Schizosaccharomyces pombe: one gene and its partners. The gene in region 1 interacts genetically with each later gene. Each region holds a gene or a part of one and is shown on either strand. Other genes may lie near its edges.

Region 1 (8,363 bases):
GTCGCTGTAGGAGCCGTATTGTCTCAAAAACATGATGATGATAAATACTATCCTGTTGGATACTATTCAGCAAAGATGTCTAAAGCACAATTAAATTATAGCGTATCGGACAAAGAAATGCTTGCAATCATTAAGTCTCTCAAACATTGGAGACACTATTTAGAATCCACTATCGAACCTTTCAAAATTTTAACAGACCATCGAAACTTAATTGGTCGCATTACTAACGAATCCGAGCCTGAAAACAAACGTTTAGCTCGTTGGCAATTATTTTTACAAGACTTCAACTTTGAAATTAACTACAGACCTGGATCAGCAAATCACATAGCTGATGCCTTATCCAGAATTGTTGACGAAACAGAACCAATTCCAAAAGATTCAGAAGACAATAGTATCAACTTTGTTAATCAAATCTCGATAACCGATGATTTTAAAAACCAAGTGGTTACAGAATATACGAATGATACAAAATTGTTGAATTTACTAAACAATGAAGACAAACGAGTGGAAGAGAATATCCAACTCAAAGATGGCTTACTAATTAACAGTAAAGACCAAATCTTATTACCTAATGATACTCAGCTGACTAGGACAATTATTAAAAAGTATCATGAAGAAGGTAAATTGATTCATCCAGGCATTGAACTTCTTACAAACATTATATTACGTAGATTTACGTGGAAAGGAATAAGAAAACAAATACAAGAATATGTACAGAACTGCCATACATGTCAAATAAACAAATCTAGGAATCATAAACCTTATGGACCTTTACAACCAATTCCCCCATCAGAAAGACCTTGGGAATCTTTATCAATGGATTTTATTACAGCTTTACCAGAATCATCTGGTTATAATGCACTTTTCGTGGTAGTTGACCGATTTTCAAAAATGGCAATCTTAGTACCTTGTACGAAATCCATTACAGCAGAGCAAACAGCTCGAATGTTTGATCAACGAGTTATTGCTTATTTCGGCAATCCAAAAGAAATCATTGCAGATAATGATCATATTTTTACTTCCCAAACGTGGAAAGATTTCGCACATAAATATAATTTCGTTATGAAATTTTCGTTACCATACAGACCACAAACTGATGGACAAACTGAGCGTACAAACCAAACTGTGGAGAAATTACTAAGATGTGTATGTAGCACACATCCAAATACATGGGTAGATCATATATCCCTAGTGCAACAATCTTACAACAATGCGATACATTCAGCAACTCAAATGACACCTTTTGAGATAGTACATCGCTATTCACCAGCTTTATCACCTTTAGAGTTACCTAGCTTTAGTGACAAAACTGACGAAAACTCTCAGGAAACGATCCAAGTATTTCAAACAGTTAAAGAACACTTGAATACAAACAACATAAAGATGAAAAAGTATTTCGATATGAAAATACAAGAAATTGAAGAATTTCAACCTGGAGACCTAGTTATGGTCAAAAGAACGAAAACAGGTTTTCTTCATAAATCCAATAAATTAGCACCTAGTTTTGCAGGACCGTTCTATGTGTTACAGAAGTCGGGTCCAAACAACTATGAATTGGATCTTCCAGATTCAATCAAGCACATGTTTTCATCTACTTTTCATGTTTCTCACCTAGAAAAGTATCGACATAATTCAGAACTCAATTACGCTACCATTGATGAGTCTGATATTGGAACAATTCTTCATATCCTAGAACATAAAAACAGAGAACAAGTACTCTACTTAAATGTCAAGTACATTTCGAATCTAAATCCGAGTACTATTATGTCAGGATGGACTACATTAGCTACAGCGCTACAAGCGGACAAAGCAATTGTCAATGATTATATTAAAAACAATAATCTAAATATCTGAGAACATATGACTTATCCTCAGATTTACATAGAAAATCTTGGGGAGGGCAATGTCAGCAATACTACACTACGCTATAATACACTACGTTGAGTATCACTATATGTCACATGTTCTAATTATATATCGTACCATGTATGATACGATATGGAGATTGATCTTAATGATAATCTATTAAGATCAATATTATCTGAATACTATAAATAGAGCTACTGCTGAACCTCGTTCCTCAGTTCAGTTATGAGCTATATTAGTGATAGGTAACATTATAACCCAGTTAATACAATACCTATACTCAGTTGCTACTTATACAACCTGTGTATTGTAATATAATAGATCACAAGGAAAACTCACCGCAGTTCTACGTATCCTTAAATCAGATACCAAACTGCGTAGCTTACACTTAAGAGACTAGATTTTAACTATTGTATAGCGAGTACGTTAGTAATTTCCAATTTACTCCAATGTGCGTTAAAAAATTTAGGTAGGACTGCGGAGACTACGCTAGATCTAGATTAAAATACCTAAATATTAAATCTTCAACTTATACTACACTCGTAGTCTTTAGTATCTAAAATTTACCAATTTGGGCTTTTTTGAAGCATTTGGTTTGGAGAAGATTTATTCGATTGAGTATTTTCTCCTTTACACCAAAAAATGGGTGTTCCAGCACTTTTCCGCCTTTTGTCGAGGAAATTCGCAAAGGTCATTACACCTGTTATTGAGGCTCCTACTGAAAAGCTTCCAGATGGTACTGAAATTGAACCAGATTTAAGTCTTCCCAATCCAAACGGAGTGGAATGCGACAACTTGTATTTGGATATGAATGGTATTGTTCATCCTTGTTCCCATCCTGAAGATCGCCCCGCTCCAGAGACTGAAGACGAGATGATGGTTGCTGTCTTTGAATACACGGATCGTATTCTTGCCATGGTTCGTCCTCGTCAGTTATTGTTCATTGCAATCGATGGCGTGGCTCCTAGAGCCAAAATGAATCAGCAGAGATCACGTCGTTTTCGTTCTTCTCGTGAAGCAGCTCTCAAAGAAGAAGAATTACAAGCCTTCATTGAGGAGGCAAAACAACAGGGAATTCCCATCGACGAAAACGCTACGAAGAAAAAATCTTGGGACAGTAATTGCATTACCCCCGGCACACCTTTCATGGACACTTTGGCCAAGTCTCTTCGTTACTACATAATAAATAAACTAAATAGTGATCCGTGCTGGAGAAATGTCAGATTTATACTTTCTGACGCCTCGGTTCCTGGTGAAGGTGAGCATAAGATCATGGAATTTATTCGATCTCAACGAGTGAAACCAGAGTATGATCCAAATACACACCACGTTGTTTACGGTTTAGATGCAGACCTAATTATGCTTGGTTTGGCTACTCATGAACCCCATTTTCGTGTATTGCGTGAAGATGTCTTCTTTCAACAAGGAAGTACTAAAAAGACAAAGGAAGAGCGTCTTGGCATCAAGAGACTTGATGATGTTTCTGAGACCAATAAGGTTCCTGTAAAAAAACCATTTATATGGCTCAACGTTAGCATTTTGAGGGAGTATCTAGAAGTGGAACTTTATGTCCCCAATTTACCTTTTCCATTTGACTTAGAACGTGCGATTGACGACTGGGTCTTCTTTATCTTTTTTGTGGGTAATGATTTTCTTCCTCATTTGCCTAGTTTAGATATTCGTGATGGTGCCGTAGAGCGGTTGACTGAAATATGGCGAGCTAGTCTTCCGCACATGGGTGGTTATCTTACTTTGGATGGTTCTGTTAATTTAGCTCGTGCTGAAGTCATTCTGAGTGCTGTAGGTAACCAGGAAGATGATATTTTTAAGCGTCTTAAACAGCAAGAAGATCGTCGTAACGAAAACTATAGACGCCGTCAACAACGCGAGTCAAATCAGGAATCAGAATCTTATGTTGACAACGTCGTAATTCAGCGTTCAGTTGAGACGCAATCGACAGAAGTTGTTACCTCTTCTAAATCAACTTCTGTTGATACTAAACCGCCAAAGAAAACTCAAAAAATTGACGCTCCGGCTCCAGTGGATTTGGTTAATTTGTCTGAAAAAACTTCAAATCGATCTCTAGGCGCTACTAATAGAGAATTAATTAATAATCGCGCTGCTAACCGTCTTGGACTTTCTAGGGAAGCAGCTGCTGTTTCTTCAGTTAACAAATTGGCGGCCTCTGCATTGAAAGCTCAGTTGGTTTCAAATGAGACACTACAAAATGTTCCTTTGGAAGACAGCATAGCTTCATCCAGTGCATATGAAGATACCGATAGTATTGAATCTAGTACCCCTGTTGTACATCCAATAGACACAAAAGTTTCAAATGTGGGTCAGAAGAGAAAGGCCCCAGATTCGACTGAAGAAAATGAAAATACTGATACAGTCCGCCTGTATGAGCCTGGATACCGCGAACGGTATTATGAACAAAAATTCCACATTTCACCCGATGAACCAGAAAAAATTCGTGAAGCTGTTAAACATTATGTTCATGGATTGTGCTGGGTTCTTTTGTATTATTATCAAGGCTGTCCATCTTGGACCTGGTATTATCCATATCATTATGCTCCTTTTGCCGCTGATTTCAAAGATTTGGCCTCCATAGATGTAAAATTTGAACTAAATCAACCCTTCAAGCCTTACGAACAATTACTAGGCGTTTTACCTGCTGCTAGTAAAAATAATTTACCTGAAAAATTGCAAACTCTTATGACTGATGAAAACTCTGAAATTATTGACTTTTACCCGGAAAATTTTACTATTGATTTAAACGGGAAAAAATTTGAATGGCAGGGAGTTGCTCTTTTACCATTTATAGATGAAAATCGGCTTTTGAATGCTGTATCAAAAATCTATCCTCAACTTACCGAGGAAGAGTCAAAAAGAAATGAGGATGGTTCTACTTTATTATTTATTTCTGAACATCATCCAATGTTTAGCGAACTTGTCAAACAACTTTACTCCAAGAAACGTCAAGGTAAACCACTTAAGTTATCCGGAAAGATGGCACATGGATTGTTTGGCAAAGTTAACACCAATGATTCCGTAATTCCCAATGTATCCGTTCAATGCCCAATTGATGTTACATCCGCTGACGCCCTTCAGAAGTATGGAAGCATAGATGATAATCAATCTATAAGTCTTGTGTTTGAAGTACCTAAATCGCATTTCGTACATAAATCCATGCTTTTAAGGGGAGTGAAAATGCCGAACAGGGTGTTAACCCCAGAAGATATCAACCAAGTACGTGCAGAGAGGAGCTTTTCTTCCCGCCGAAACAATGGTAATTCGTATCGTGGAGGACACCAAAGTTATGGTGTCCGACGCTCTTACCAATCGCAAAGTTACAGTAGTCGACAGAGCTACACTGGAGTTACTAATGGTTTTGCAAACGGTGGAGTTCAACCTCCTTGGTCTGGTAATGGCAATTTTCCTCGTTCTAATGCAAGCTATAACTCTCGCGGCGGCCACGAAGGATACGGCGGGCGCTCGAGAGGTGGTGGTTATTCGAATGGACCGCCAGCTGGTAACCACTATAGTAGTAATCGCGGAAAGGGTTACGGCTATCAGCGAGAATCCTATAACAATAATAACAGGAATGGCTACTATTAATACATTTAAGTTTTCTTAGTACAATTTTGAAAGCGGGTTTGGGATATTGGAGATAAATAATATATCTGATTATTTGAATTTCATTGGCACATTGCATAATTAGTTATGCAATTCAGTTACAAAATGCATGTTGATAACATAAAATTATACTCAACAACTATACCGATCTATTCCTCTTTCTTAAGAGCAGGTAATACTTCTGAATAAACATCAAAGCGGCGTTGAGTATAGATAGGAACGCTGTTTCGAGCGGTAGACATGACAGAGGGATCAATATCTGCGTAAACGATAGACGGTTTTTCATCAGTAGTAGCAATAACTTTTCCGAAAGGGTCTACAACAGTAGAATGTCCCCATGAATGATAGTCAGCGTTCATATCTCTAGCAGGGGCACAGCAAGCAACGAACATCTCATTATCAACTGCTCGGGCTCGTGCAAGTAGTTCCCAATGTAAAGGGCCTGTGGACAAATTAAATGCTCCAGGGTAAATCATCACACTACAGCCATTTCTAGCTGCTATCATAGCGAGTTCCGGAAATCGTATATCGTAACAAATACCCAAACCAAACTTCCCGTATTCAGTGTCAACCATAGTCATGGCGTCGCCAGGTGAAAGACTATCAGATTCGCGGAAGCTAACTCCACCAGGAATGTCAATATCGAATAAATGAATTTTCCGATGAACGGCTATCAATTTTCCAGAAGGATCAAACACCATTGCAGTGTTGTATAATTTGCCATCCTTGCGTTCAGGAATAGAACCGCCAAATAAGTAAGTCTTAGTATCCTACAGTACCGTTAGTCTCACATAATCAACGAAAATTAAATTAACAAACCTTTGCCATAGAGGATAAAGCTTGGTAAGAAGGAGATGATTCCTCTATAGGTTCAGCATACTGATTAAAGTAACCAGTACCATATGGTGAATTGAAAATTTCTGGTAATACAATGACATTAGAACCGTTTTTAGCGGCTTCCAATACTTTTAAACGAGCGAGTTGTAAATTTTCGCTCTTGTCTTTGGTATTGGCAAGCTGAACCAAGCCAATACGAAAAGCACGAAAATCTTTAGGAACCAGAGATGAAGCTGAGACAGACATGATGTTCCTTGTATAGCAAAAATTTAATGAAGGAAAAAAGGATCTTGTGCCTTTTTGAACGAGTCCAAAAAATTTACTGTTCATATAAACAATCACCGACTTGAAATTTTAGGTGAAGGAAGAGGAATGAGTAGAAAGCAAAGATACGAGGGAAGATGTCCTGATTTGTAGGCTAGTCTCAGAATATCTAGCTTGCGATAATTTTGAGCTCCAAAATATTATATTCCTGAAATCTCAATGTAACTTATTAAGCACGTGGCTAGCGAAATCCTCCAATCCAAATTACACCTTGTTATCAAAAAGAAATTTAGCAAGGTGATCAAACTTCCATGTCTTTGATAAGAAGAATGTCGACATCAAACTAGTTTTCAATCTATTGTAAATCTAAAGAAGAAAAAGGGATTTACATTCAAGCAGCAACTACACAAATAGAAATCGTTGTTTGAATGTTACGGAAGGCAAGACCAAAAAAATTGTTTTTGTTTATCTACAAGTTACAAAAGAATGATATTTATTACTGTGTCAACTAGTTTATAGGTAATGATAATATCGTCTGTCATTTTTAGAAAAAGGGGATTCAATTACTATAGATATTCAGTTGTTCCGAATGTGTTGAAAAATAAAATCTTAAGCGTCTTCGTTTCGCAAAAGAAGAAAATAAATGTTATAATAGCTCGAATGAACTGTTTGGCATACATGTTAATTTCACGTATATTGAATATTGATCTTGTTCAATAACAAATGAACTTATGGCATGCATAAGATCCATCAATCGAGAAGAGCCTAAAAATCGCATTTGAATGCGTATTTAAAGAAAGAATAGCTGTATCCTTAGTCAAAAAATTTTGTATTGAAAGAAAAAAGATTAAGAGTATAATGAAAATAAAGAGGAAAAGAAAGTTCGAAAACCAAAAGATGACCAAGAAAATAATGAGTAAATTACGTTGTTTAGCAAACAACCAAAATAAATTGCAATAATAAATTATAGAATTAACACATGATCCGAATAAGAGTAAAGCTGTGGAGATTAATAAGCTCTCCATTCAAATTCGTTGCGCTTCAAATCATGGAATTCACGGAAATCCGAAATGAAATGACACCTGAATAGATATTGAAATAGATGGTAAAAAGAAAGAATGAATTCGATTGGAAAAATGAACATAAAAGATGATTTGATGCAAAAAGTAAAAATGCTTCTCCCTACTCTTTCAAATACTTTGTAAATTGTTTTTGCGAAAGATATGATTGCATATCTGGACTTACATGCTCCGACAACTGTTCGGAGTCAGGAAGCAATAACCCATTCATGAATAAAAGTTCCAAGAGATGTAACTTACTAGTATCACGAGTAACCGCTTTTAAAAACACCACTCCATTCTCTTCAAAATTTGGTTTGGCGGCTAAACCTAGTAATATTTTGGAGATTTTATTTTGCTCCAAACCCTCCAATAAAGTAGCATCAGCATCTACTCCTGCAAAGTCAATGAATGCGTGTTCCACATACTTCTTCTGGGCAAATGCCAACTTCACCTGCGCATTATGCTCCGGCTTTGGCTTCAGCGAAGGATTAGAAAGTCCTTTTTCATAAACACGGTTGACAGCAGCATTACCAATTTTGCACAAAAGGACTTTCGATTGCTGCGATAACGAGTCGAGTAGCAAAGAACGTGTTTTCGATATATGAGTACCTAAAGACCTATGTATACCACTGCATTCAATACAAAGAACTACCGGTATATTGATCGAGCACCAAGTAACATCTTTAACCGAACCGCAAT
Region 2 (4,784 bases), 460 kb from region 1:
TGGGTTGGTCTATTGAGAAAAAGAATTTTGTTTCAGCACCTGAAGGTTCTGTTTTTTATAAAGGTAAAGTTCAAATCATTCGAAACTTCCAATTTTCTTCAGCTTTAAAAAGACAGTCTTCTGTTTCCAACGTAAGAGTGTCTGGAGGAAGTTTTAAAACTTTTGTTTCGGTAAAAGGAGCCCCTGAAGTGATTGCTACTATGTTGCGGGAGGTCCCTAAGGATTATGAAAAAATTTATAAAGATTATGGTCGTAAAGGGTCTCGAGTACTCGCCCTAGGTTATAAATATTTTAAAAATTATATCCCTGAGAATCAAGTTTCTGATTTGAGCCGTGAATCTATTGAGTCTGACCTTGTATTTGCGGGATTCCTTATTTTTACTTCTCCTCTTAAAGAGGATGCTAGGCAAACTGTGCAAATGCTAAACAATTCTTCGCATCGTTGCATGATGATAACTGGTGACAATCCTCTGACCGCCGTATATGTAGCTGAACAAGTTGGTATTGTTGAAAAGCCAACCCTCGTATTGGATATTAAGCATGAGAATGAAAAGATTTTAGAGTGGAAGAGCACAGATGATACAATCAATTTACCCATGAATCCTCATAAATCGTTGGAAGCTTCGTTGTACGAAAAGTATGATCTTTGTATTACCGGTCGTGCTTTGTCTCAAATTATCAATCCGGACGTTATTATGTCAATTTTTACTCACGCTTGGGTTTATGCGCGTGTTTCTCCTTCTCAAAAAGAATTCATGATCTCAACTTTGAAACACAATGGATATATAACTCTTATGTGTGGTGATGGTACCAATGATGTGGGTGCTCTTAAACAAGCACACGTTGGTGTAGCTTTATTAAATGCTTCGGAAGAAGATATGCTTGAAATGCAAGAGAGAGCTCGTAATCAGAAGTTGATGGGCGTTTATGAAAAGCAAATTCAACTTGCTAAAAGATTTAATCTTCCAACTCCTCCTGTTCCACCTGCACTTTGCCATGCTTTCCCTCCTGGTCCTAACAACCCTCATCGTGAAAAGACTCAAGAAGGCTTAAATAAGGTCCTGGAAGATTTGGAAACTAAGAAAGCTAGTGATGTTCAATTAACGGAAGCTGAGAAAGCTGCTGAAAGACGGGCAAATCTGGCTAACAAGATGTTTGACACTTTAGCAAACGCTTCTGATGATGAGGCACCGAAACTTAAGCTAGGAGACGCTTCTGTTGCTGCACCATTTACTTCTAAATTAGCTGTAGTTTCTTCGATAACCAACATTGTGCGTCAAGGTCGTTGTACTTTAGTTGCCCTCGTTCAAATGCATAAGATTTTGGCTCTCAACTGTTTGATCACTGCTTACTCGTTGTCAGTACTTCATCTGGATGGAATTAAATTTGGTGATACTCAATACACTATTTCGGGAATGTTAATGTCTGTTTGTTTTTACTGTGTTTCACGGGCTCGTCCACTTGAAACTCTTTCAAAAGAAAGGCCTCAAGCTGGAATTTTTAACACTTACATAATTGGTTCTGTTTTAGGTCAGTTTGCTATTCATATCGTTACCCTTATCTATATAACTCGTGTCGTTTATCTGTATGAGGATCCTTTAGAAAAGGTGGATTTAGAAGAAACCTTCAAGCCTTCTTTGTTGAATACTGCCATTTATTTGCTTCAACTTATTCAACAAGTCTCAACGTTTGCTATCAATTATCAGGGCCGTCCTTTCCGTGAAGCTTTAAGTGAAAATAAAGGAATGTACTATGGCCTTTTGGGCATTGCCTTTGTCGCTATTGCTGGTGTAACTGAGTTTTCGCCTGAACTCAACGCAAAACTTCAGTTAGTTAAAATGGCTTATAATTTCCAGATACAACTGTTAGCCACAATGGTTGTAGATTACGCGGCTTGTTGGATTATTGAAGAGCTTATGAAAAAATACTTCCGTGACAACAAGCCGAAGGAAATTGTTCTTCGTAATTAAGAACAATTATATAAGTGGGTTACACCTACTTATCTGTACAAGCTTAGATAAATATTCATTTGAACAAACTGATGAGTAATTGCATTACTCACTGATGGGCAAGGATGTCAATTTTCTTCGGTCAGTATACAATATTTATCACCATTTTCAATTTGATTACTTGTTATGAATATTTTACATAGACTCAATGATTGATTCATTCTTGGCATATTTGATTTATTAATTTGGAATAGTGTAAGTGAGCTTTTTATAGGACGTAATAGATGCTTATTAGAGATAAAATAATATTCACTTGTTAAAATCCTTCTCAGTAGCAAGGTGAAAGGCATATAAAATTTGGGATATTTCTATAAGCGCTATCCCATGATACTGGGACTTCGTAAATCCTCGAACGCTCAGCATATATCAAGCAATTGCGAAAACCGCTGAAAAATTGGGATAATTTAATTTAATAAAAAGAGCTAAGCTCATTTAAAGTTTTTTTTTTTAATGTTCATCATTTTTGCCCTATTTTGAACCAAAATTTTACAGTTTTAATACGCATCGACCGATCGAGTTGAATTGGGGCTTTTCTGCATTAACTTATCGATACAATGCCTTTCTTCCTCAAAGAGCTTTCGTTAACGATTTCTCTGCATCCCAGTTACTTCGGTCCTAGAATGCAGGACTATTTAAAGGCAAAATTGTTGGCGGACGTGGAAGGCACATGCTCAGGTCAATATGGCTATATAATTTGCGTTTTGGACAGTAATACTATAGATATTGATAAAGGGAGGGTAGTTCCTGGGCAAGGGTTTGCCGAATTTGAGGTAAAGTATCGTGCAGTGTTATGGAGACCATTTCGTGGGGAAGTGGTCGATGCAATTGTTACAACAGTAAATAAAATGGGATTCTTCGCAAATATAGGACCATTAAATGTCTTTGTCTCATCTCATTTGGTGCCTCCAGATATGAAGTTTGACCCTACTGCAAACCCTCCTAATTATTCTGGTGAGGATCAAGTTATTGAAAAGGGGTCGAATGTCAGACTTAAGATTGTCGGTACAAGGACTGATGCAACCGAAATTGTAAGTTTCCCAATAGTTCACAATATTTATTTTGCTTAATTAATCGTGTTACTAACATAATATCTAGTTTGCCATTGCAACAATGAAAGAGGATTATCTAGGCGTTCTTTAAAAAGATAAAATTTTAATTTGTCTTTTATTTCTCATGTTCATTAATTCAATGCTAACCATCGCGTATACTGTTATTATTAAGTTCCTTTCTAGGTCTCAAAGTTTATTCATGTAGTTGTAAAAGCGCATACCAACGTTTATCGATCTAAATTTTGGCTCTATTCTGTGGTAATGTTATGGCTAAAAGCTGCGCAATATCTTTAAAAAAAAATTTTAACTTTATATACCCTTTACACAACAATAGAATTTCCCTAATTATTGTATATAATCGCAATATCAATCGACGATTTCCTTATGAATACAATCTTGGGCTAGCATTTTATCTATTAGGAGTGCATAAGTCTTTATCGTTCTTCGGTAAATAGAAAACCATGAAAATATTCAAATACCTTATAATCAAAGTATGCATTTAACATAATGATAATATATTACTCAAATAAGTCAGAATGCGAAAACCGAATTGTAATAAAGAACTAATAAATAACAGAATGGAAAGTCACTTTGCCTTCTCGTGATGAATTCCTTTAAAACCACGGCTTATTCCTTTTCGCATTTTGTTCGTAAGGTTAGCCACCGAGGCAACCCCATCAACAGCAACATTACCTACAGTACTAATGCCTTTAAGAGGCATACCAACAATCGAAGCAGTCTGTCCAAGAATTCCTTCGACAAGAGAAGAATTTCCGGCGCGTTTGGAACGAAGGACCCATTTTGGGCTCAGAGTTATACGAAGATAAAGAACTCCTTGTTTGCTATCCAAAGGAATTTCATAGTTAGTCTGTTGTTGCTGTTGAAGAAGCTTGCAGTCGATTACACAAGAGCCCAAATGATCGTCCTTGTTACCAAAATCCCAATCAAAAACATTAGCAACAAAATTACAGGTTTGCTTGCAAGGAAGTTCGACCTCGAAACTTTCATTAAAAGTAGGATTTAACGTCCGCTTGTGCGTTTTAGTCCGGTACACTTCTTCTCCTTGCAACTCGAAAACAACGAAAGGATCAGACTTTCCATTGGAATCTGCGGCAGGGAGATCCGTGGCTTTTATGACATCGACGGTCATTTCTCCCATATTTTCGTACATTTCAACTTCCTCAAGTTTCACAGGAACAGGAGTTAGCCTAAAAGCGACCAAAATCGAAGCACCATCAGGAAATGCAATTTCCAGAGGTTTAGTAGCGCCTTTACTAATTAAATCGCGACTCAGCATAGTTTTGCTACCAACCTCCTTATCACCATCTAGCAGCTTGAAAGTACATTGAGAATATTCAAGTTGTCTGATGAAAGTATTGCCGTACTCATGCAGGGTAGCACCACCGGTGACGTTTAAGGCAGATGATAAGAAAATATGATGAGGTAAATCGTCTAAAAATATAGCTAACTCTTGGGCTGGCTTAGCTATTTTATACGAAATTATGTCGAAACCCATGAAGCCAGATTCAAAGTCTAAAGCTGCATTTACAGCTTCAGACGGCATAAGCAGTTCTGAAATCTTCTTTGGTTTTGAGGTTTTAACAGACGTAGACCCTCGAGAAGTTGAAGTGTTGTCGACTGCTGTAGGCGTTTTTTGGCTTTCCGGAAGCACTTCGATATTTACTTTATCAGTTGCAACAGTTGATGAAGCTTTAGGAGCGGGTGT
Region 3 (5,062 bases), 1.2 Mb from region 1:
ACGGTATTTACTGCTGGGGCGATACGTGGCAAGATACCAAAATGAATACTGAAGCGGTAGAATTTTTATTCCAAGCTTATTTACGGAGAAGAAGGCTTCAAAAACCAGAATAGAAATTTTGTGACAGCTTGAAAGACATTGCGTTCTAAGGTAAAAGTTACTATATAACAAATAAATAAGCTTAAACTCACATAAGTTCCTACTAAAGTTTCGGATTATGATATTTTTTTCTTTAAGGTATTTAATCAGTAATTTCATGTACTTTGAAATAATGCATTCGACGTTTTCTTCATCCGCTTCCGTTTAAATTTCTCTTCATATTTTAAGTATTTGGTGACAGAGGAAGGCGAGCATTGTTGCAAAAGTCTACCCCGTCTATAGATGCTGAGCGTTAATAAAGAATGTGGTACTTTTGCGAACTTAGTCAATTTGTCACCCATATAGGTAGGCTTTGAAAATACATTGCGTCTGGCGTTATAAATACAACTTCTATAATCCGATTTAAATCGCTTAATTTTTGCGTCTTCAGTAGGCACCCGTAGGTTGCTTTCCATATCTTCAAAAACATCATCCACTATGAAAGGAAGATACCGTTTAGAACGAGAATGCGCTTGGTTCGCTAGTGTATTTACAGGTGACAATGATGAGGAATTATTGTTATATGAGTTTAATATCAATGTTGCGTCCGCATTGTTCTGTAAAGCTTGAAATTTAAAAATAGGTTGTATGTTGCTAGGGATTAAACGAGGAACGTCCTTTTTAAGTGCTATTTTTTTACCGGATTCAATTACCTTTTGAACCCTTCTGTAGGAAACTTGAGATCGCTCCCATTTAGAATCTTCACAATCTTCGGTAAGAAGCACAAAAACTTTTCCACTTTTCTTACGACCAGTTCTACCCATTCTTTGAATCGTGCGTATCGGTGAAGATGAAGCATCATAGCAAATAATCATATCGGTATCACCAATGTCTAAACCCTCTTCGCCGATTGATGTAGCAACTAGCGTGTTTATAACACCTGCACGAAATTGATCGATAGTTTCTTTTTGTTGCATCTGATTCATGCCAGTTGAGTAAGCCGAGTTCGCCTGCCCAATAAATAAAGAAGCTCGAACCATAGGTCGAATTGCCAACAATGTCGTTGTGATATATTCAGCAGTGTTTCGAAATTCTGTGAAAATCATAACTCGTTGATTTTGATAGCCTTCAGAAGTATCTTTGAAATGTTCTTTCAAAAGTTCAAGAAGATGATTCATTTTAGGATGGTTTAATGACAAACCTTGAATTTTATTGTGAAGGTGTTCTAAATAAAAAGCAAACGGTTTACTAGTAAACAACCAAAAGCTTTGTCCACTCCCTTTTCCTTCAGCTTTATTTTTAGTTTCCACAAGCTTTTGATAAAATTGGATAATCCCATGACAATCTAACAGATACGTTATATGAGCACATGAAATCAATAGCGTAAAGCAACTCATGATTTTTGATTTTTCTTTAGATTGTACATTTTTTGAACTAAAGGAATACTTTCGTAAAGAAACGAAAAGCGTATAAGCTTTTATATTAAGGCATTCACAATTGATAGGTATAAGTTTTTTTTGACGGAGAAAATTAAAATATGGCCGGTATAGGTTAGCAAAGTCCGATTTTAAAATATTCATTTCAGAGGAGATCGTGACCTTAATCAACTGAATCTTTTTATGAAAAACATATGAGCGAATATCTATACTTTCTTCGTTGCGAACAATGAGTTTGGAGATATGGAGGCAATCTACTACCTTTTGAACAGAGGCGGTAGAAGATCCTGGAGTTGCGGTTAAACCAAGGACTCGAAAATGACTATTAGATCTAAGCACTGCCCTCATAACCTGAGCATACGAATGGTTGCCAGTAGCTCTATGAGCTTCATCAAATATCAGGCAAATAATACTTTTGGCATCCAGTAAATGTTCCTTTAAATCATTCTGGAGTGTTTGTGGAGTCATGAAAAATACTCGTTTCGTATTGTATTCGAAAAGTCGACGATCCGGTGATACTTCACCGTTCAATTCAGCGGTAGCACCTGGTGACATTCCCGCTACATTGGAACAAGCAACTCTTTGTTGCAACAGTAATGGTTTTGTGGGGGCAAGAAATATTATTTTGCTTTCAGGAAACCAACGAAAATAGTTTAACATGACCACTGCCGCAATAAATGTCTTTCCCAACCCAGTAGGTAGAGCCAGTAATAAATTGTGGAATAATGCTTGCTCACAAAATTCCTTTTGATAATTTCTATACTGCTGAGTCTGTGGAAAAATCCAGTTTTGCATTGCATCAATATTTTTTGGAATGTCAATATTGTTTTCTAACTCAGTTATAACTTGAGGTTGAGAAGAAGGAACCCTACAGCCTCGCAAGTCTAGTTGAAACGTAGTATTTTCAACGTCTTGATTATGTTTTATACATTTCAAATTTGGTTGCCTTAAAGCAGGATTAGAATTCAACAAAGATCCTTCAACATTACAAAGCACTGAGGTAGGAACATTTCCTCGTTCTCCGTTCACCTCGATACTTGGCAGGTCTACTTCAGAGTCGGAATAGTCACTTGAGTCTCTCAGTACAATCATGAAACTAAATTTATGAAAACGAACGAACACATAGACCAAAGTAAGTTTCAAAAATAAACTGAATATCAAACTTTTAAATTCTTGAACATCAAGTTTCTTCAATTTGATCAAACAACATTATAATCTTTGCTTTTCATAAACAAAGCTGATAAAACAATTAACAATTGAGTAAGATCAAGTCAGCGGAGGAGCATGAAAATTTAACGTTGTAAAATAAACACGAGTACTAATGCGATAAACAGAAAACAGTTTGCAAACTTGAAAAAAAAACTGTCAAACTCAAGAATTCAACTAACAAAATCACGTTACGGGGTGTTGATATTCACATCAGCAACTATGGTGGTGAAGAAAAATCACAACGGTATTAGTAGACATGTGAGATGTAAAGCGCGTTATCCAAAATAAATCCTCTACCACCATAAGATTATTAATTTTGCAATCTGCTAACCAACAGCAGTGTTTACAGTATTCGAACTTAATTTGAATCATGGACTCTGCTGATATCCGATCTGCGAAAGCAGCTTTGGAAAAAGCTATTCAGGGAAAGAATATAGAGGTTTGTAATTTGTGCTATTGGGACTTACAGATGGTTTTGAAGCTAATATCAAGCTAGACTATAATTAACATTATGACACGTTTAAAAAATGAAGTAGTTGCTACCGAAGAATTACTTAAGGTAGGTTTATTACATGCAATATGGTAGTATTCTCGCACGGATTGTTGACAATATATTACATGAATTTTGCAAATTTCACTTAATAGAAATAACATCTTTCTTAAAATACGAATTCCACAAGAGTACCAACATTTGATGGAGAATCGGTATTCAAAATACTAACCAATGATGCTAGGAAACCCGGCTGGGATTAGTCGTTGGCAAGCTCAGATCTCATCCCAATGAGAAAGTTGGTGAGCAAGCTCGGGAAATTGTAAAAAAATGGAAAGCCGATGTTAGTAAAGGTCGTCCATTGAAAACCACAACTACAACTTCCTCCACGCCTTCTAAACATGCGGATGTAGGTTCTCAAGCTCAAAAACAAGTTCAAAAACAAAGCAGCAGTGGTCAGCGTACTTTTAAATCTGATAATGTGAACGTCAATGTGACTGATGACAAGATTCGCAACAACTGTATTGGATTAATGTACAATGCATTAGTCATAGATTCGGATGAATCTTCTTCATTAATAATAGCCAAAGCCAAAGAAATTGATGCGCAAGTACTTGCTAGAGCAGCAGGTAAAACTGGTTCTGAATATCGAAACAGAATGCGGTCCTTGTATATGAATCTTAAAGATAAAAATAACCCGAAACTTAGAGCATCAGTATTACGAAATGAAATTACTCCGCAAAGACTCAGTACCATGACTTCTGCCGAATTGGCTTCAGAAGACCGTCGCAAGGAAGATGCCAAGCTAGAACAAGAAAATTTATTCCATGCGCAAGGTGCTAAACCCCAAAAAGCTGTTACAGACCTTTTTACTTGTGGGAAGTGTAAGCAAAAAAAAGTTTCTTATTACCAAATGCAAACAAGGTATGTTATTTGTCATGATTTTAGTACTTTTTATCGCGTAAAATTTATTAACAATCCGTATAGATCTGCTGATGAGCCTATGACAACGGTAAGCATTAGTCTATTTGGGTAGAATATTTGGACTAATTTTTTTTTAGTTTTGTGAATGTACTGTTTGCGGAAATCGCTGGAAATTTTCTTAAATCTTGGGTCAGCCCATTTAGATACCGGTTGTAAAATAATCCTTCATATTTCTTCTTCTTTTTATTGTTTTAGAAGCACTCTCCTCTATTGTGTGTGTTTTTTTTTGTTTTAGGATCTGATTGGTATCTTTCATTCTAGCGATGAATATATGCATATTTTACTTTTGCACACTCAATACGACACTTTTACAGTTATCCTACTTTACACTTCTTAATAAATCCAAATGGTGTTTTAAACGTACATTTAATAAGTTAACGCTTGATCAAAGCGAATAGATCATAAAATTCGACATTATTAATCCTCAATTAAACTGTAGTCATAATTAACAAGTGCAACGAAAAGTGGAACGATTAATTGTATTGGACAAAAATTTTAACAAAAATGAACGGGTTTACCATCGATACGAGTGTAATAAGCCGTATGCAAAATTGCAAATAATTCCGACAAGAATGGATAATTGCATTCTCAGAGAGAACATTGTCCTTTCCCAAAGAAAATAACAAGCAATAGCTCCTCCAAAAAAGCCTATTAATACTCCAGCCAACAAGGTTTCATATGACATGTCAAGTTCGTCGGCAGAAGAGTTTTGTCCTCCATTGTCAATCCAATCGTCTTCTGCCTCTCTGATAGCGTCTTCCGTGAGTGAATCCAAATTAGTTCCTCGTAAGCGATGAAATTGGCTACGCAAATTATTGACCTCGGTTTCTGTAAAACCAGCTTCACGTAAACGATCAAAACCACG
Region 4 (5,985 bases), on another chromosome or scaffold:
AAGGTGGCATGGACGCTGCCAATTTGCTGAAGCCAATGCTTGCACGTGGTAAGCTTCACTGTATTGGTGCTACTACTTTGGCTGAATACAAGAAATACATCGAAAAAGATGCTGCTTTCGAACGTAGATTCCAAATCATCTTGGTAAAAGAGCCTTCTATTGAAGATACGATTTCTATCCTTCGTGGTCTTAAAGAAAAGTATGAGGTTCATCATGGTGTTACTATCTCTGACCGTGCCTTGGTTACTGCTGCCCATCTCGCTTCCCGGTACCTAACTTCTCGTCGTCTTCCAGATTCTGCCATCGACTTGGTCGATGAAGCTGCGGCTGCAGTTCGTGTTACTCGTGAATCTCAGCCCGAAGTTCTTGATAACCTTGAGAGAAAGCTTCGACAACTCCGCGTTGAAATTCGTGCTTTAGAGCGTGAGAAGGACGAAGCTTCCAAAGAACGTCTCAAGGCTGCTCGTAAAGAGGCTGAACAAGTGGAAGAAGAAACAAGACCTATTCGTGAGAAGTATGAATTAGAAAAGTCTCGTGGAAGTGAACTTCAAGATGCTAAGCGTCGTCTTGATGAGTTGAAGGCTAAGGCTGAGGATGCCGAGCGTCGTAATGATTTCACTCTTGCTGCTGATTTGAAATACTATGGTATTCCTGATTTGCAAAAACGTATTGAATATTTAGAGCAACAAAAAAGAAAGGCTGATGCAGAAGCGATTGCAAACGCTCAACCAGGCTCAGAACCTTTACTTATTGACGTAGTTGGGCCCGATCAAATCAACGAAATCGTTGCAAGGTGGACTGGTATTCCGGTTACTCGTTTGAAGACAACTGAAAAGGAACGACTCCTTAACATGGAGAAGGTTCTCAGTAAACAAGTAATTGGTCAAAATGAAGCAGTTACTGCAGTTGCAAACGCCATTCGCTTATCTCGTGCTGGTCTTTCTGATCCTAATCAACCAATCGCATCTTTCTTGTTTTGCGGTCCTTCCGGTACTGGTAAGACTTTATTGACAAAGGCATTGGCATCATTTATGTTTGATGATGAAAATGCAATGATTCGTATTGACATGTCTGAATACATGGAAAAACACTCTGTTTCACGTCTCATTGGAGCACCACCCGGTTATGTTGGACATGAAGCTGGTGGACAGCTTACTGAACAACTTCGTCGACGACCTTACTCCGTCATCTTGTTTGACGAGATTGAAAAGGCTGCTCCAGAAGTATTGACTGTACTTTTGCAGGTACTAGATGATGGACGTATCACTAGTGGCCAAGGCCAGGTTGTTGATGCCAAGAATGCTGTTATCATTATGACTTCTAACTTGGGCGCTGAATACTTGACAACAGACAATGAGTCTGATGATGGAAAGATAGATAGTACCACTCGGGAAATGGTTATGAACTCGATTCGTGGCTTCTTCCGTCCCGAATTTTTGAATCGTATCTCTTCAATCGTTATCTTTAATCGTCTGCGTCGTGTGGATATCCGCAATATTGTCGAAAATCGTATATTAGAGGTTCAGAAACGGCTTCAATCCAATCATCGCTCAATTAAAATCGAGGTTAGCGACGAAGCTAAAGACCTTCTTGGAAGCGCTGGTTATTCCCCTGCTTATGGTGCAAGACCTTTGAACCGTGTCATTCAAAATCAAGTTTTGAATCCCATGGCTGTCTTAATTTTGAATGGCCAGCTTCGCGATAAGGAGACTGCTCATGTCGTAGTCCAAAATGGCAAGATATTTGTCAAACCAAATCATGAAGCTAATGCAAACGGCTCTGCTGATATTGACATGGATGGTATTGACGACGATGTTAATGATGAAGAATTGGAATAAATGTATTTCAAATGAGAAAGTTCTAACGATACTTTATGATATAGTTTAATGATATGCTTAATCTTAATATATTTTATTTATTTATAAAAATATAGTATATAAACTTTTTAGGAAGTACTGTTTTCTCATTAAAATGTTCAATGAACTTTATCGAATAGATAGAATCAATTTAACAAAAGCTAAGTACATCGTTTTTAGTTATTAGCAATTCAAGTATGATGAAACATTGAATCTTAAATTTATCAAATAATCCATTGTTATTTACGAAAAACCTCCATTTATTTTAGTAGGTATTAATTAATGCAGTCCATTCAAGAAAGTCGAGCTTGTAAGAAAGTGCTCGTAATTCCTTATAAAATCAAAGCAGAATTAGCTCTCATACTTTTAGTAGATTTTAAATTGAATTTACATGATTAACTTTAACATTTGGTAAATCACTATCATATCATTTCATTACTTTCTACACTTGCGCATTGCATACTAATACGCATTCCAGTTCTCATGGTTCAAAGCAACGTTTAAATTAACAAGTTGTATAGTTAAACTTATACAGTGCTTTGCTTCTAATAGCCATTATTACCAGGAAATAACGAGATCACAGTTGCCCGCATACCATTAAGCTAACGAAACTTTACTGCACTAAACAAGAGACTAGCTTTTCGTAATTGTAATAAGACTTATCGAAAAGTTGAACCAGAGATCTTCAGTTCAGTAGATCATTGCCTTTCTCAAACGAAGCTTTAATTTATACTTCCTTAAAAATAATTGATTAGTCATATTTTCATGTTATACAAACTCTGTCATGGCTTCCAATCCGCTAGATAATAATATGCCGACGACTCCCGTTGAGGAAAAAATTCCAGTCGCTAGTTATTCTCCTAGCTCTTCTGGTAGTAGTTCCGGTGCTAGTTTACTAGTAGATATTATGTGCGGCAGTAAAGAAACTGAGGATGAAGAGGTTGATTCTGATGAATGGGATAAACCAGGTATGAATATCAACTATTAACTCCAATACCTTCAAGGGTACGCGCAAGTCTATTTGAATTTACAAAATTTACAATTGATCAACGATTTTGAGTTCAGGTTAGCTATGTGCTTTTCATATACTTTAGTTTATTTTAATTATTTAAAAAGTTAACGATTCCTTAGAAACAGAAAACATAAGTGATTTGGATGAACGATCCGAAATGGTCAGATATTTAAGGGCTTCAGGTAAGGAGTTACTTAATTTACATTTTAACTAGTATTTGTAGGCTATGCGAAATTCTTGGAGAAATATTTAATAGAAGAAGAGTTGCCTGTACGATCGATTTTAAAAAAACTTGGAATCAATTTGGTATGCTTACTGATTTATAACTTGCATTACATTAAATTAGCAGATTATTTTTGTTAAATTGCAATAATAATTTGGTCTACTGCATGTTTTGTTTTCTTATGACTTTACCTAGATTTATTAACGTAAATAGCCTAGTGCACTTGAAGAGTTTGAAGACATAGAGTATGCTTTTCTTTAACTTCCTTCTTATCTTTTTATCTTTTATTTTTTAAAATATCTGCTATCGATATACTAACGTGCTAATTAGTTTACTTCCTTTGCTGAAGGAAGTTTTAAAACGTGAGGTTGCTAGGAGAATCAAACTTCCACATTTTAATACCTTTGAAGATGTTGTTAATTTATTGAAAAAAGCTAAAAATGTTGTCGTCCTTGTTGGGGCAGGCATAAGTACAAGTTTGGGAATTTTAGATTTCCGTTCAGACAATGGTTTTTATGCCCGTTTGGCACGCCATGGATTATCGGAACCTTCTGAAATGTTTGATATCCATACGTTTAGAGAAAATCCAGAAATTTTTTATACTTTTGCTAGAGATCTTTTGCCGGAGACGAATCATTATTCCCCCTCGCATGCCTTCATTAGATTGCTTGAAAAGAAGAATAAATTATCAACATTGTTTACCCAAAATATAGACAATTTGGAAAAAAAGACTGGACTCTCCGATAACAAAATTATTCAATGTCATGGTAAGTATTTATTTTCCGATTTGCATCTCGAGCACTGGTGATTTTGTCTAATTTGATTATATAGGGTCTTTTGCTACCGCAACTTGTATCAAATGCAAGCACAAGGTGGATGGATCGGAGTTATATGAAGACATAAGAAATCAAAGAGTTTCTTACTGCAATGAATGCGGAAAACCACCCTTAAAATTAAGAAGAGTCGGTCAAAATAAAAAAGAGAAACATTATTTTTCAGATGGTGATAGTGAATCTTCTGAAGATGATCTAGCTCAACCTGGGATTATGAAACCTGATATCACATTTTTTGGGGAAGCCTTACCGGATTCTTTCTTTAACAAAGTCGGGAGTGGTGAGCTTGAAGAGACTGATTTATTAATTTGTATTGGAACTTCTTTAAAAGTGGCTCCTGTTTCAGAACTCATCAGTGTTATTCCTCCTACTACTCCTCAGATTTACATTTCGAGGACTCCTGTTCGTCATACCCAATTCGATGTAAATTTTCTAAGTCCTTATTGTGATTGGGTTATTGTGGAGATTTGTAAACGTGCTGGATGGCTGAATGAATTACAAGCGCTTTGCGATTTACCTGAGTGTCATAGTGGTTCCAAAACGCGAGCTTTCGAAACGGATTTGGATATAAAATTTGAGGAGCCCAGCACCTATCATATCACGAGCACAACAAACGGTAGTTGTTAATTTTAGGACTGATCGATCTATCGAAGTTGAATGTAGAAGCAAATATATTATATACATATATCGAGTATGAGAGCCAGATTATTGGACATTAACTTATTATCCGTTTGAGACTTCTTAGTTTTGTAAGTGCCATTGTTAAAAACTGTTTTTTCTCTTCGCACCTAATGTTTAAATCTGCTAAACTGGGTGAAAACACATTAAAACAAGTTATAATACATTTTACAATACCAAGGACTGTGTAATTAGTAAATGAACATTGAAGCAAATTACATTCATAGGCTATGCAAAATTAGCTACTTTTTTAAGCATAGTAAATCAGTGAAAATGACACAATTATTATTTAAAATTGAAAGATTGATTGGTACATATCAATACAACCAATGAAGCATCTAATTGTACGATACTAAAGAGAAACAACTGAAAACGGACAATTAGAAATTGGTCAACGATATTGACACTCAAACTCAAAAGAAGAAAACAGATTTAATGAAGAATATAAAATGCACGGATCATCGAAAAAGCCACCAAATCAAGCCCATTTACCTAACAAAGCCATAACTCCAGTACCAGCCATCGAGCATGCCAAAAGGTAAATAAGCTTATACCAGTTACGTTCTCTTTCAGGACTAAATAAGAAATCGTGTGCAAGTAATTCCACTAAACCAGCATAAACCAAAATTCCAGATGAGATAGCATCCAAAACACCTTGGGCAGCATAAGACCCATGAGCAAGAGGATCCCAATGCTCACGAACACCTAAACCAGCTGCCATACCAATAGGCGTAACCAACGAATAGATAACGCCCAACACCCAAGGTACCCATGCAGTTTTTGGGCCCCAGGCCATTCCCGCCAAACGAGAACCTAAACCACAACCTTCAAAGGCCTGATGGAAAATAATGACGGGAAATAAAGTTTTAAATTCTTCACCTGAGACGGCAGTTGTAAGACCGATAATAACACTATGCAAAATGATACTAGATTCAAGAATTATAAAGGCAGTAAGTTGTTGCTTTAGTAAGAAACTACGAGCTTCTTCTTTAGTAGTCAAATCGGTACTATCAGTATTCGTATAAGGTTCTAGTTTTACTTCTTCCAAGTCATCCTTTACACATTCATGCTCAACACCATCGGCACATTCTTCAATATCATAAACTGGATGTTCATGAACACCGTGAGCACCGTCTTCGTGACTATGACTGTGTTGTTTGGCACCAAGAGTTGGACCATGATGATCGCCGATTTCCATACCGAACCGCCATTCCACATAGCGATTCAAAAGGACCTCCAACAAGAGAATAAACCAACAAGAAATAAGACAAATACCTGGAGCCCAATCGTAACCTCCGAAAAGGTCGTCAAGACAAGGATCGTAAAGCTTGTTACAAGCAGGGGCTAACAAGTGAATAAAAGCAGTAGCCAAAATAACACCAG

What was found.
Region 2: mutations in dhp1 (region 1) and rpb7 are lethal when combined (synthetic lethality), as found in Schizosaccharomyces pombe (one study listed by BioGRID).
Region 3: of dhp1 (region 1) and tfs1, changing one suppresses a phenotype caused by changing the other (phenotypic suppression), as found in Schizosaccharomyces pombe (one study listed by BioGRID).
Region 4: of dhp1 (region 1) and sir2, changing one enhances a phenotype caused by changing the other (phenotypic enhancement), as found in Schizosaccharomyces pombe (one study listed by BioGRID).

Annotation. Positions count from the first base shown.
Region 1 is NC_003424.3:3,355,038-3,363,400, reverse strand, and holds dhp1 (5'-3' exoribonuclease Dhp1), read left to right. Parts: upstream 1-2,397; 5' UTR 2,398-2,508; coding exon 2,509-5,484; 3' UTR 5,485-5,651; coding exon of another isoform or gene 5,652-6,272; 3' UTR 6,273-6,321; coding exon of another isoform or gene 6,322-6,669; 3' UTR 6,670-7,257; downstream 7,258-8,363. Other genes in the region: Tf2-4 (retrotransposable element/transposon Tf2-type), read left to right, coding at 1-1,854; SPOM_SPAC26A3.11 (mitochondrial omega-amidase), read right to left, coding at 5,652-6,272, 6,322-6,669; cnt6 (centaurin ADOP ribosylation factor GTPase-activating protein), read right to left, coding at 7,786-8,363. UniProt on the Schizosaccharomyces pombe protein: Possesses 5'->3' exoribonuclease activity. Required for the processing of nuclear mRNA and rRNA precursors. May promote the termination of transcription by RNA polymerase II. Essential for vegetative cell growth and chromosome segregation.
Region 2 is NC_003424.3:2,899,725-2,904,508, forward strand, and holds rpb7 (DNA-directed RNA polymerase complex II subunit Rpb7), read left to right. Parts: upstream 1-2,359; 5' UTR 2,360-2,563; coding exon 2,564-3,037; exon of another isoform or gene 3,038-3,104; coding exon 3,105-3,149; 3' UTR 3,150-3,409; downstream 3,410-4,784. Other genes in the region: P-type calcium transport ATPase Cta4, read left to right, coding at 1-1,970; tcb3 (tricalbin), read right to left, coding at 3,645-4,784.
Region 3 is NC_003424.3:2,114,413-2,119,474, reverse strand, and holds tfs1 (general transcription elongation factor TFIIS), read left to right. Parts: upstream 1-3,018; 5' UTR 3,019-3,093; coding exon 3,094-3,162; intron 3,163-3,219; coding exon 3,220-3,282; intron 3,283-3,457; coding exon 3,458-4,137; intron 4,138-4,200; coding exon 4,201-4,225; intron 4,226-4,274; coding exon 4,275-4,319; 3' UTR 4,320-4,562; downstream 4,563-5,062. Other genes in the region: mde1 (5'-methylthioribulose-1-phosphate dehydratase), read left to right, coding at 1-113; ATP-dependent 3'-5'-directionality DNA helicase fml2, read right to left, coding at 255-2,606; protein dsc3, read right to left, coding at 4,712-5,062. UniProt on the Schizosaccharomyces pombe protein: Necessary for efficient RNA polymerase II transcription elongation past template-encoded arresting sites.
Region 4 is NC_003423.3:3,608,212-3,614,196, reverse strand, and holds sir2 (histone deacetylase, Sirtuin family, NAD-dependent Sir2), read left to right. Parts: upstream 1-2,510; 5' UTR 2,511-2,640; coding exon 2,641-2,824; exon of another isoform or gene 2,825-2,987; coding exon 2,988-3,050; exon of another isoform or gene 3,051-3,087; intron 3,088-3,091; coding exon 3,092-3,174; intron 3,175-3,304; coding exon 3,305-3,336; exon of another isoform or gene 3,337-3,421; coding exon 3,422-3,858; exon of another isoform or gene 3,859-3,922; coding exon 3,923-4,551; 3' UTR 4,552-4,980; downstream 4,981-5,985. Other genes in the region: heat shock protein Hsp104, read left to right, coding at 1-1,838; plasma membrane ZIP zinc transmembrane transporter Zrt1, read right to left, coding at 5,081-5,985. UniProt on the Schizosaccharomyces pombe protein: Involved in silencing within the mating-type region, at the telomeres, and according to PubMed:12867036 also within centromeric DNA regions.